Linked DNA regions of Alligator mississippiensis. The main gene of each other region encodes a partner of the protein of the gene in region 3 in a complex. Links are inferred from orthologs where the notes say so. Each region holds a gene or a part of one and is shown on either strand. Other genes may lie near its edges. The genes, in order: TAF10, TAF13 and TAF3.

The links.
Region 1: TAF3 (region 3) and TAF10 share a complex: the UniProt entries of both Homo sapiens proteins name them as parts of the TFIID basal transcription factor complex. The link is inferred for Alligator mississippiensis from reciprocal best matches to the Homo sapiens genes TAF3 and TAF10.
Region 2: TAF3 (region 3) and TAF13 share a complex: the UniProt entries of both Homo sapiens proteins name them as parts of the TFIID basal transcription factor complex. The link is inferred for Alligator mississippiensis from reciprocal best matches to the Homo sapiens genes TAF3 and TAF13.

Annotation. Positions count from the first base shown.
Region 1 is NC_081824.1:483,482,813-483,485,369, forward strand, and holds TAF10 (transcription initiation factor TFIID subunit 10), read right to left. Parts: upstream 1,637-2,557; coding exon 1,378-1,636; intron 1,246-1,377; coding exon 1,103-1,245; intron 1,023-1,102; coding exon 958-1,022; intron 881-957; coding exon 766-880; intron 669-765; coding exon 579-668; 3' UTR 507-578; downstream 1-506. UniProt on the Homo sapiens protein: The TFIID basal transcription factor complex plays a major role in the initiation of RNA polymerase II (Pol II)-dependent transcription.
Region 2 is NC_081824.1:247,514,054-247,517,798, reverse strand, and holds the start of TAF13 (transcription initiation factor TFIID subunit 13), read right to left. Parts: upstream 2,586-3,745; 5' UTR 2,523-2,585; coding exon 2,496-2,522; intron 2,412-2,495; coding exon 2,333-2,411; intron 2,219-2,332; coding exon 2,121-2,218; intron 1-2,120. UniProt on the Homo sapiens protein: The TFIID basal transcription factor complex plays a major role in the initiation of RNA polymerase II (Pol II)-dependent transcription.
Region 3 is NC_081827.1:10,624,354-10,628,098, reverse strand, and holds the start of TAF3 (transcription initiation factor TFIID subunit 3), read right to left. Parts: upstream 2,584-3,745; 5' UTR 2,481-2,583; coding exon 2,315-2,480; intron 1-2,314. UniProt on the Homo sapiens protein: The TFIID basal transcription factor complex plays a major role in the initiation of RNA polymerase II (Pol II)-dependent transcription.

The DNA.
Region 1 (2,557 bases), on a different chromosome or scaffold from region 3:
CCATCCAGGCTCCATGGGAAAACTGCCAGCGTCTGAATAAATCTTTGTTACAAAAGCAGACCACGAGTGGCTGAGTGGTGGGGTGCCAGGGGCCACGCGTGGCTGGGCGCGGCGCTGCGCCCATGCAGGGCCGGGGGGTGGGTGGGGTGCCCTGCCCAAGGAGGAGCAGCCTGACCCGGGGCCACAGGGCCACGTGACTGCCCTGCAGGAAGTGTTGAGCCATACTCGGTCTCTCCACCCTTCCTCATTCAGCCACCACGGCAACGGCAGGATCTGTCCGCCCCGTGGCCGCCGGCCCTTGGGACGAGGATGGGTGTCCTGGTGCAGCAGCTGGGGTCGGGAGCGCCCCCCCCAGCGCAGGGGCCGAGGGCCGCCCGGCCCTAAAGATGCAGACCCCAAATCCTGCGGCCGCTCCGCCCACCCACGGCTCCCGTGCCCCGCGGCGCGGACGAAGCCCGACGCCGGGTCAGGCGCGAGCGAGGCAGACGGCACCGCAGAGAAGCCAGTACCCCGAAGTCCACGGTTTAATGACAGACGGGGTCCCGCCCCTCTGCCCGGGCCCGCGGCGCGCGCAGGCGCTAGGTGAAGTAGTGCGGCTTCTTCACGTTGATGCCGTACTCGGCGAGCGCCGGCGTCAGGTCCTCCATGGTCAGCGTGTACTTCTTGTCCTGCGGGACGGGCGGCGTCATGCTCCCGCGGCCCCAGCGCCCCCCCCCTCGCAGCAGCAGCAGCGCGGTCTGGGCCCGCGCCTGCGCCCCCCCTCACCTTGCTCTTGTTGCGGGAGCTGCCCGAGGCCGTGCCCTTCATCTTGCAGTGCTGCAGGGCGTCGTTGGCGATGTCCGAGATGAACTTCTGCGCGGCCAGCGAGATCAGGCGGATGCTGCGGCACGGGGGAGGGGGTGTTAGGTCGGGACGCGGTGCCGGGCCGTGGCCCCGCGCCCACGGGGGGGCACTCACATGCGCGGGTCGGACGCCTCGAAGCCGGCTCGGTTGAGGTAATAGCCCGTGACGGCGTCCGGGATCTGCAAGGGGAGAGCGGGGGTCAGGCGGCGCGGCGCGGCGCGGAGCGAGCCCCCCGGCCGCGGCGCGGCGCGGCGCTCACGGTGGGCGTGTAGTCCTCCAGCTGCATGAGGAAGTCCACGAGGGGCGCGGTCGACACCACGGGCTTCACGTCGCCGTTGGCCGCGCCGGGCGGCATGTACACGCCGTTGGGCAGCGCCTCCGCCGGCGCCGGGGGGCCGGGCACTGCGGGGAGGGGCGGGGGGGGGGTCAGTCACTGCGGACCTCGCACCCCGCCCCGCCACAACCCCTGCAAGCCCCGCCCCCTCGCGCCCCGCCACGCCCCCTGCCCTCCCTGAGCCCCGCCCCGCCCCTCACCGGGCCCCCTGGCGCCGCCCGCGCCCCCCCCGGCCGGGGCGGCCCCCCCGGCGGCGGCGGCGGGCGGGGCGAGGCCCGGCGCGGGGGCGGGGCCAGGCGCGGGGGCGGGGCTGGGCTTGCCGTCGGCGGCGGGGGCCGCGGGCGCGGGGTCGGGCTCGGCGCTGCCGCTCATGGCGGGCGGGTCCCGCTCCCGCTCCCGCAGCCGCGCTCCGAGCCGGCCCGGCTCTGCGTACTTCCGGGGCGCGCCCGCCGCGCCCATTGGCCGGGCCGCCCGCCGCGCAGCCCGGGCCCCGCCCCCCGCGCGCTGATTGGGCGGCCGGCCCAGGCCCCGCCCCGCAGCCCATAGAGCGCTGGGGCAGAGCGGCGCGCGCCGCACCACCGAGACAGACGCCTGCGCCTAGAGCGGCGCCGTGGGCCAGCGAGGCGACCCCTGGCGGTCGGGGGAACGCAACACGGGGAGCCGGGTCACAGCTGGAGCTGGAGGGGGGGGGATGGCCCGGGGGCACAGCTGGAGCTGGGGATGGCCCCAGGGGCACAGCTGGAGCTCCCCCCAGAGCTAATAGAACCAGTCAATGCGCGGAGCAGACGGTGGGGCACCGCCAGGCCTCAGCAGCACCCTGCACCCAGGGCCGCTGAGCTGGTGTGCCACGGTAGGGCTATTGCCCCAGCAGGCAGGGATCCCCCACCCAGCACTCCAGGCCTCTTGACCGCCCAGGCCAGGCCCTGCTGCTCCCCACCAGGCCCCCCAGCCATGCCCGCCCCTGCAAGGCACACAGACACAGACATGAGGGCCAAATGCTTTTATTTCCTCCACCCCGCATCTGCCCCGGGAGAGAGCACACAGGCTGGGAGGTCGCGCAGGGGCTGCACCGCCCCTGCCAGGGCACTGCTGCAGCACAGGGAGGGCTGCAAGCCCTGCCCGGTACCAGCCGGTTTGCAGCGAGCATGGCTGGGCAGCTGCTCCTTCCGCAGCTCAGCTGCAACATCCCTCTGTGCTCAGGGGCTGCAGGGCAGGGCCAGTGGCTGTTTCAGGGACTCACCGCAGGGCTGGAACAGGAAGACTGTGGCCAGAGCGTGCAGTGCTGCCCCTGCCACTTCCCTAGCTGGCTCTGTTGTCTCGCCCAGCCGCAGGGCCACAGCAGTAGATGCAAGGAATGTAATTAAAATGACTTAATTAGCT
Region 2 (3,745 bases), on a different chromosome or scaffold from region 3:
TGGCCCCCTGCAAGGGGGGAGGGAGGGAGGGAGGGCAGGGTAAGAACTGTAATATATAAATTAGTTTTTGAAATGGGTGCCATTCAAATTCACACAAGTGATGAAGGGGTAGCTTGAGTCCAAAAAGGTTGAGAACCACCGGATTTGAAACCTGTCCCCCACCTCTAAGTTTTGACTACAGAAAATAGCAAAGCTGGTCTGCTGCTGCAAACAACTCAGAAAGCCAACAGGGTAGCACGTCACAAAGTCACAGACTATAGTCAGAGAGAAGTGGGGCTGGAAGAGACCTCTAGAGGTCATCTAGTCTAACCCCCTGCCTGAGGCAGGATCAAACCCATCCAAACCATAATCTAATATCTATGTAAGACTACCATCAACTAGGACACAATACAGACCTAACATCCTAACCCAGGGGGTTTCAACCTTTTTAAATAAGTGTACCCCTGGCAGGTGGACATGGAACTGGGGGGGGGGGGGGGGGAGGGTGCGCGTGCATGGCCAGATGCAGAGTGACAGCAGTGTGGCCTGGTGGGTGGCAGCGATGGCTGCTGTGCGTAATCTTCCCCACCCCCCCGCCCCATGTACAACTGGTGCCTGTGCAGCCCACAGAGGGGCATTTCTGCCCTTACCCCACCCTGGCCCTGTTCCTGGGAAGTGGTGGCACTCCATCCCTGCTCGCTTGTGCATACCCCCTAGGGCCTTCCCAAGTACCCCCGGTTGACAACGCCTGTCCTAACCTACCACAGGTAAAGCAGAGGAACCATGGCAGACAAGGTCCTGCTTCTATGCAATGCTGTCAATATATGCTCAAGGGATCCCAGGAAGAGAGCCATGCCTACTGCTACAGGGGGAAGGCAAAAACGTGGGTCTCCAGGTTTATTTTATGAACCACAGGTACGTGCTGTCACACCTAAGTGCTAATATTGTGCAGCAACCCTTAAGGGAGCTTTGCGGCACCCTGGCTGAAAATCAGCATCATAGGAGGCGTACACTTTTATTTCTTTAAAAGGTATCGTTTAAAACTAACATGGACTGCAATGCACACGTCTCTTTTCTCTCTTGGAAGCACAGTCACTATGCTGGACTGTGAACTGCTGGGAACTTGTCTGTAGTAAGGCTCTTGAAATCACAGAAAAATCATAGACAATTAGGGTTGGGAGGGACCTCAGGAGGTCACAGGTTGCATCTCACCAACCCAAGGGGCCTAATGCAATAGTATCATAGAAGATGAGGGTTGGAAGGGACCTCAGGAGGTCATCTAGTCCAACACCCTGCTCAAGGCAGGACCACCCCCAACTAGATTATCTCAGCCAAGGCTTTGTCTAGGCAAGTCTTAAAAACCTCCAAGGATACAGATTCCACCACTTCTCTAAGTAACCCATTCCAGTATTTTACTACCTTTCTAGTATGAAAATTCTACCTAATACACAACGTAAACCTCCCTTGCTGCAACTTGAGACCACTGCTCCTTGTTCTGTCATCTGCCACCACTGAGAAGTCCAGCTGAGAGTCCAGCTTCATCCTCTTTGGAACCAACCTTCAGGTAGTTGAAGGCTACTATTAAATCCCCTTTCAGTCTTCTCTTCTGCAGGCTAAATAAGCCCAGTTCCTTTACCCTCTGTTCAGAAGTCATGTCCCCCAGTCCCCTCACCATTTTGTTGCCCTCCACTGGACTCACTCCAATTTGTCCACATCCTTTCTGTAGTAGGGTCCCAAAACAGGAGACAGTACTCCAGAGGTGGCCTCACCAGTGCTGAATAGAGGGGAATAATCACTTCCCATACCCTGCTGGCAGCACACCTACCAATGCGGCACAGTATGCTGTTAGCCTTGGCAGCAAGAACACACTGCTGGCTCATATTCAGCTTATTGTCCACTGAAACCCCCAGGTTCTTTTCTGCAGAGCTGCTGCCCAGGCAGTCAGCCCCCAGCCTGTACCGGTGCATGGGATTGTTCTGTCCTAAGTGCAAGACTTTGCACTTGTCCTTGTTGAACCTCATGAGACTCCTTTTGGCAAGCCAGGTTCCCCACTGTTGTGCAAGGCTGCAGCAGGGTGGCCCACGCGCCCAGACGGGGTACCCTCCCCCCCGGGGGGGCAGGCAGGGCCAGCACAGACGCACCATCTCCGTGATGAACTCGATGACCAGGTCCTCCAGGATGTCCACGGCCTCGGTGTAGGGGTTCTGGTCGTCCCCGAAGCCGTACATCATGCAGCGCACTAGGGAACGGAAGGGAGAACGCCACGCACGCGCAGTTACCATCTGCCGGGGCCTCAAGCTTGACAGGGCCAACTGCCCCCCACCCCCGCGCATGCGAACGCCCCAGTACTCACGCTCCTTGGAGAAGAGGCGTTTGCGCTTGCCCTGCCCGCCGTCCAGGCCGCCACCCGCCTCCTCCGCGTCTTCCTCGAACTGCGGATGGTAAAGGGCGGGAGGGGTTACTGCATGCCCAGAGCATTCTCCCCACACTTCCCCGTGGATGTCTCACTCACTCACCGGCGCGTCCTCCTCCTCGTCGGCCATGATGCCCGGCCCGCCTGCTGCGCGCCACTTCCGACCTAGCCTGCAGAGCTTCCGGGTGATGCTATGGGGGCCGCCATGATTTCGTAAGGAACTACAACCGGGGCTCCGCCCCTTTCTTCGTCCCTTCCATGGACGTTTCCGCTTACGCACACCACACTTCCGGTTTATGCTTCCCCGCGCGGCCATTTTGCCGTACGGACGCTGGCTCGAAATCTTCCCACCCCCGTCCTTTGTCCCATCAGTGTGAGGCTTCCGTTGACTCCCATGGAACTTCCGGTTTCTGCTGGCTAGCGCCGCCAATTCGGTGTACGGCTTGTTGGACAGCGGAGCAGTCTCAAGGCTGGGCTGGGCCGGGGCGGCGTGGGTGTCGCCGCACGCACGCACAGACACGTGCTTTTTCATTTTTTTAAATTTAATTTTAAAATTTTTTAAACATAATTTTTAATCTTAATTTTTTTAACTTTTAAAAAGTAATTATTTTAACTAAACTTAAAATATTTTATAATATTTTTTTTAATAAAATATTTAAAAATTAGATTATATATTGGCTGTACTTGTGCTGTGCCTCTTATAAAGAGAGGCCAAATCTCATGAGTTGGGAACTATCAACCCCTGCAGTTTTCCCCACCTACGTAGTGCCTGTTGCTGGCCTACATTGAGGTCCCTTCAGCTTCGCTTGTACTCCACAATGTCAGACTACACTTTTACAGCTCCATGTTAGACAAGAGCCCATGAGAAACTACAAGTGGAAAACAAGGTATTCAGGCTTGACTGGGAAAGAATGTGAAAATCTATTTAAACATGCTAAACCAGCCTTCTGCCTTTCCCTGCTTCCCTCTGCCCAGCCCAAGGAGGGACGAGCAGAGGGGAGAACTCACAACACGCTGCTTGGAAGAGACTGACTCCTTTGGGGATCATTTCTAGGCACTCCAGGCCTGCTGTCCTACGTGAACTTTGGCCCAACAGCATTTTTTCTCCCTCTCAAGCCGGGCTTGTGAGCTGTGCTACTACTTGCCACCTTTTTCATGCAGTTATTTACATCTAGGATTTTTAGGCAGGGGTTATACTAGTTGAGAAACTTGTTACTTCTCTGCAGGGCCTCAGTTCGATCATCTCCTGAGGGGAAGTTCTCGGGGCCTGCCTGCATTCATCTACTGCAGTGATTCTCAAGCAGGGTGCTGTAGCACACGGGTGCCTGGGGATCCTTTTCCGGGTGCCACACA
Region 3 (3,745 bases):
ACACACGGGCACCCTCAACCCCATCCCCTCCTCCCCACACACACACACACGGGCACCCTCAACCCCATCCCCTCCTCCCCACACACACACACACACACACACACGGGCACCCTCAACCCCATCCCCTCCTCCCCACACACACACACACACACACGGGCACCCTCAACCCCATCCCCTCCTCCCCACACACACACACACACACACGGGCACCCTCAACCCCATCCCCTCCTCCCCACACACACACACACACACACACACACGGGCACCCTCAACCCCATCCCCTCCTCCCCACACACACACACACACACACACAGGCACCCTCAATCCCATTCCCTCCTCCCCACACACACACACGGGCACCCTCAACCCCATCCCCTCCTCCCCACACACACACACACACACACACACACACACACACGGGCACCCTCAACCCCATCCCCTCCTCCCCACACACACACACACGGGCACCCTCAACCCCATCCCCTCCTCCCCACACACACACACACACACACACGGGCACCCTCAACCCCATCCCCTCCTCCCCACACACACACACACACACACACACACACACACGGGCACCCTCAACCCCATCCCCTCCTCCCCACACACACACACACACACACACACACACGGGCACCCTCAACCCCATCCCCTCCTCCCCACACACACACACACACACACAGGCACCCTCAATCCCATTCCCTCCTCCCCACACACACACACACGGGCACCCTCAACCCCATCCCCTCCTCCCCACACACACACACACACACACACACACACACACACGGGCACCCTCAACCCCATCCCCTCCTCCCCACACACACACACACACGGGCACCCTCAACCCCATCCCCTCCTCCCCACACACACACACACACACACACGGGCACCCTCAACCCCATCCCCTCCTCCCCACACACACACACACACACACACACACACACGGGCACCCTCAACCCCATCCCCTCCTCCCCACACACACACACACACACACACACACACACGGGCACCCTCAACCCCATCCCCTCCTCCCCACACACACACACACACACACAGGCACCCTCAATCCCATTCCCTCCTCCCCACACACACACACGGGCACCCTCAACCCCATCCCCTCCTCCCCACACACACACACGGGCACCCTCAACCCCATCCCCTCCTCCCCACACACACACACACACGGGCACCCTCAACCCCATCCCCTCCTCCCCACACACACACACACACACACACACACGGGCACCCTCAATCCCATCCCCTCCTCCCCACACACACACACACACACACACACACGGGCACCCTCAACCCCATCCCCTCCTCCCCACACACACACACACACACACACACCCTCAACCCCATCCCCTCCTCCCCACACACACACACACGGGCACCCTCAACCCCATCCCCTCCTCCCCACACACACACACACACACACACACACACGGGCACCCTCAATCCCATCCCCTCCTCCCCACACACACACACACACACACACACACGGGCACCCTCAACCCCATCCCCTCCTCCCCACACACACACACACACACACACACACACACACACCCTCAACCCCATCCCCTCCTCCCCACACACACACACACGGGCACCCTCAACCCCATCCCCTCCTCCCCACACACACACACACACACACACACACACACGGGCACCCTCAATCCCATCCCCTCCTCCCCACACACACACACACACACACACACACACACGGGCACCCTCAACCCCATCCCCTCCTCCCCACACACACACACACACACACACACACACAGGCACCCTCAATCCCATTCCCTCCTCCCCACACACACACACGGGCACCCTCAACCCCATCCCCTCCTCCCCACACACACACACACACACACACACACACACCCTCAACCCCATCCCCTCCTCCCCACACACACACACACACGGGCACCCTCAACCCCATCCCCTCCTCCCCACACACACACACGGGCACCCTCAACCCCATCCCCTCCTCCCCACACACACACACACACACACACACACACACACACACACACGGGCACCCTCAATCCCATCCCCTCCTCCCCACACACACACACACACACACACAAAGGGCACCCTCAACCCCATCCCCTCCCCCCCCCACAGGGGCACCCTCAACCCCATCCCCTCCCCCCCCCCCCACACACACAAGGGGCACCCTCAACCCCAGCCTCTCCCCCCCCACACACAGGGGGCACCCTCAACCCCAGCCCCTCACACACACACACACACACACACACACACACACGGGCACCCCCCCGCGGGCCGGTGCGTGCCGGGCACTCACAGAGCTCGCAGTAGCGGTGGCAGCCGCGGCCCAGGCGCTGCAGGTATCGCTGCAGCACGTCGGTGAGCAGGTCGCAGGCCGAGAGCTGCACCGAGTCCCAGCCCAGCGCCTGGCAGATCTGCGCCACCGACACGCGCAGCAGCCACCGCGAGTAGCTCTCGCACATCCCGGCGGGGCGGGGCGGGGCTCAGCGCGGCCCGGGCGCGGCGCGGCCCGCCATGGCCATGACCCGGCGCGGCCGCCCCTCGCCTCACGCCCGGGCGCCGCGGGCCGCCAGCGCCGCCATCTTGGGGTCGCGCCTCCCGCCAGCCCGCGCGGCCGAGCGCCGAGCCAGCGCCTCCGCGGCGCATCCGTGGCTCCGGCATCGACTGCGCGGCCTGGCGAGCAGCCACGTGCGGCGCCGCGCCCTGCTCCCCGCTGCGAGCGCTGCGCGCGCCCGCCCCAGACTCTGCACCGTGGCTCGTTGTAGGCACCTTATCCTGCCTGACCTGACTACTGGTTTTTTTTCCAGCTGTAATAAAAAACAGATGATTTTTTTTTTTTGGGGGGGGGGGTTGTTTTGTCTGTCTTTTAATTTAATATCCCGCAAATATATATTAATATATTTAATATGCCGCCAAATTAGCCCAAATTATCAAATTCAAGAGTCAGTCCACAACCATAAGTGGCCCAACTACCAGCAAGCATGCAAAGAATCATATCTAACGACATTCTTAGACCCACACAGCTACACCCCCTGACCGTACCATTTACGCTCCCCTTCTCCACCTTTTGTCTTCCTAATTTCCAGCCATCAGGTAGAGAGGATATTATAATTATTGTTTCACAGACTGCCTCTCTTCTACCTGGCAGATGTCACCTGCCGCCGTCTTCCCCTGCTTACCTTTGGGACAGGGGGGTGGGTTGTAGCCGTTTTGGTCTAAGGACCTCGGCAAACCAGGTTCTTTGGGTAAATCCGATATCTTTTATTAGACCAACTGAATTAGTTGGAAAAATGGTTCTTTGCAAGTTTCCGGGTATAAACACCCTTCGTCAGGCTGAGGAAGCATCTGCAGTTGGTGCGTGCTCTTCCTGGAGGTGGTAGAAAATCTTCGGTGGTCTCTTTGGATAGATAGATAGACAGACAGAGAGAGAGATAGACAGACGTACAATATTAGGGAAGATGTCTGAATTGTTCTCTTTTAAGTGGTGATTTCCTTCCGCTGATTTCTGCAGTAGATTAGGTGAAAAAGGTGGTTTCTAATTTTCTCTGCAGTTTGCTTATCTTTGGCATTATTTCTCCCTCCTCCTCCCTTCCCTGCTCTACCCATTGTTTTCCTAATTTCCACCGATTTACATTCTCACTGACCTCCTGTCACACTTGTAGCTACTTTCATTCCTTGAAGATCTCAGAGCAGCTATGCCTGAAGAAGGCTGCTCGTGCCCAAAAGC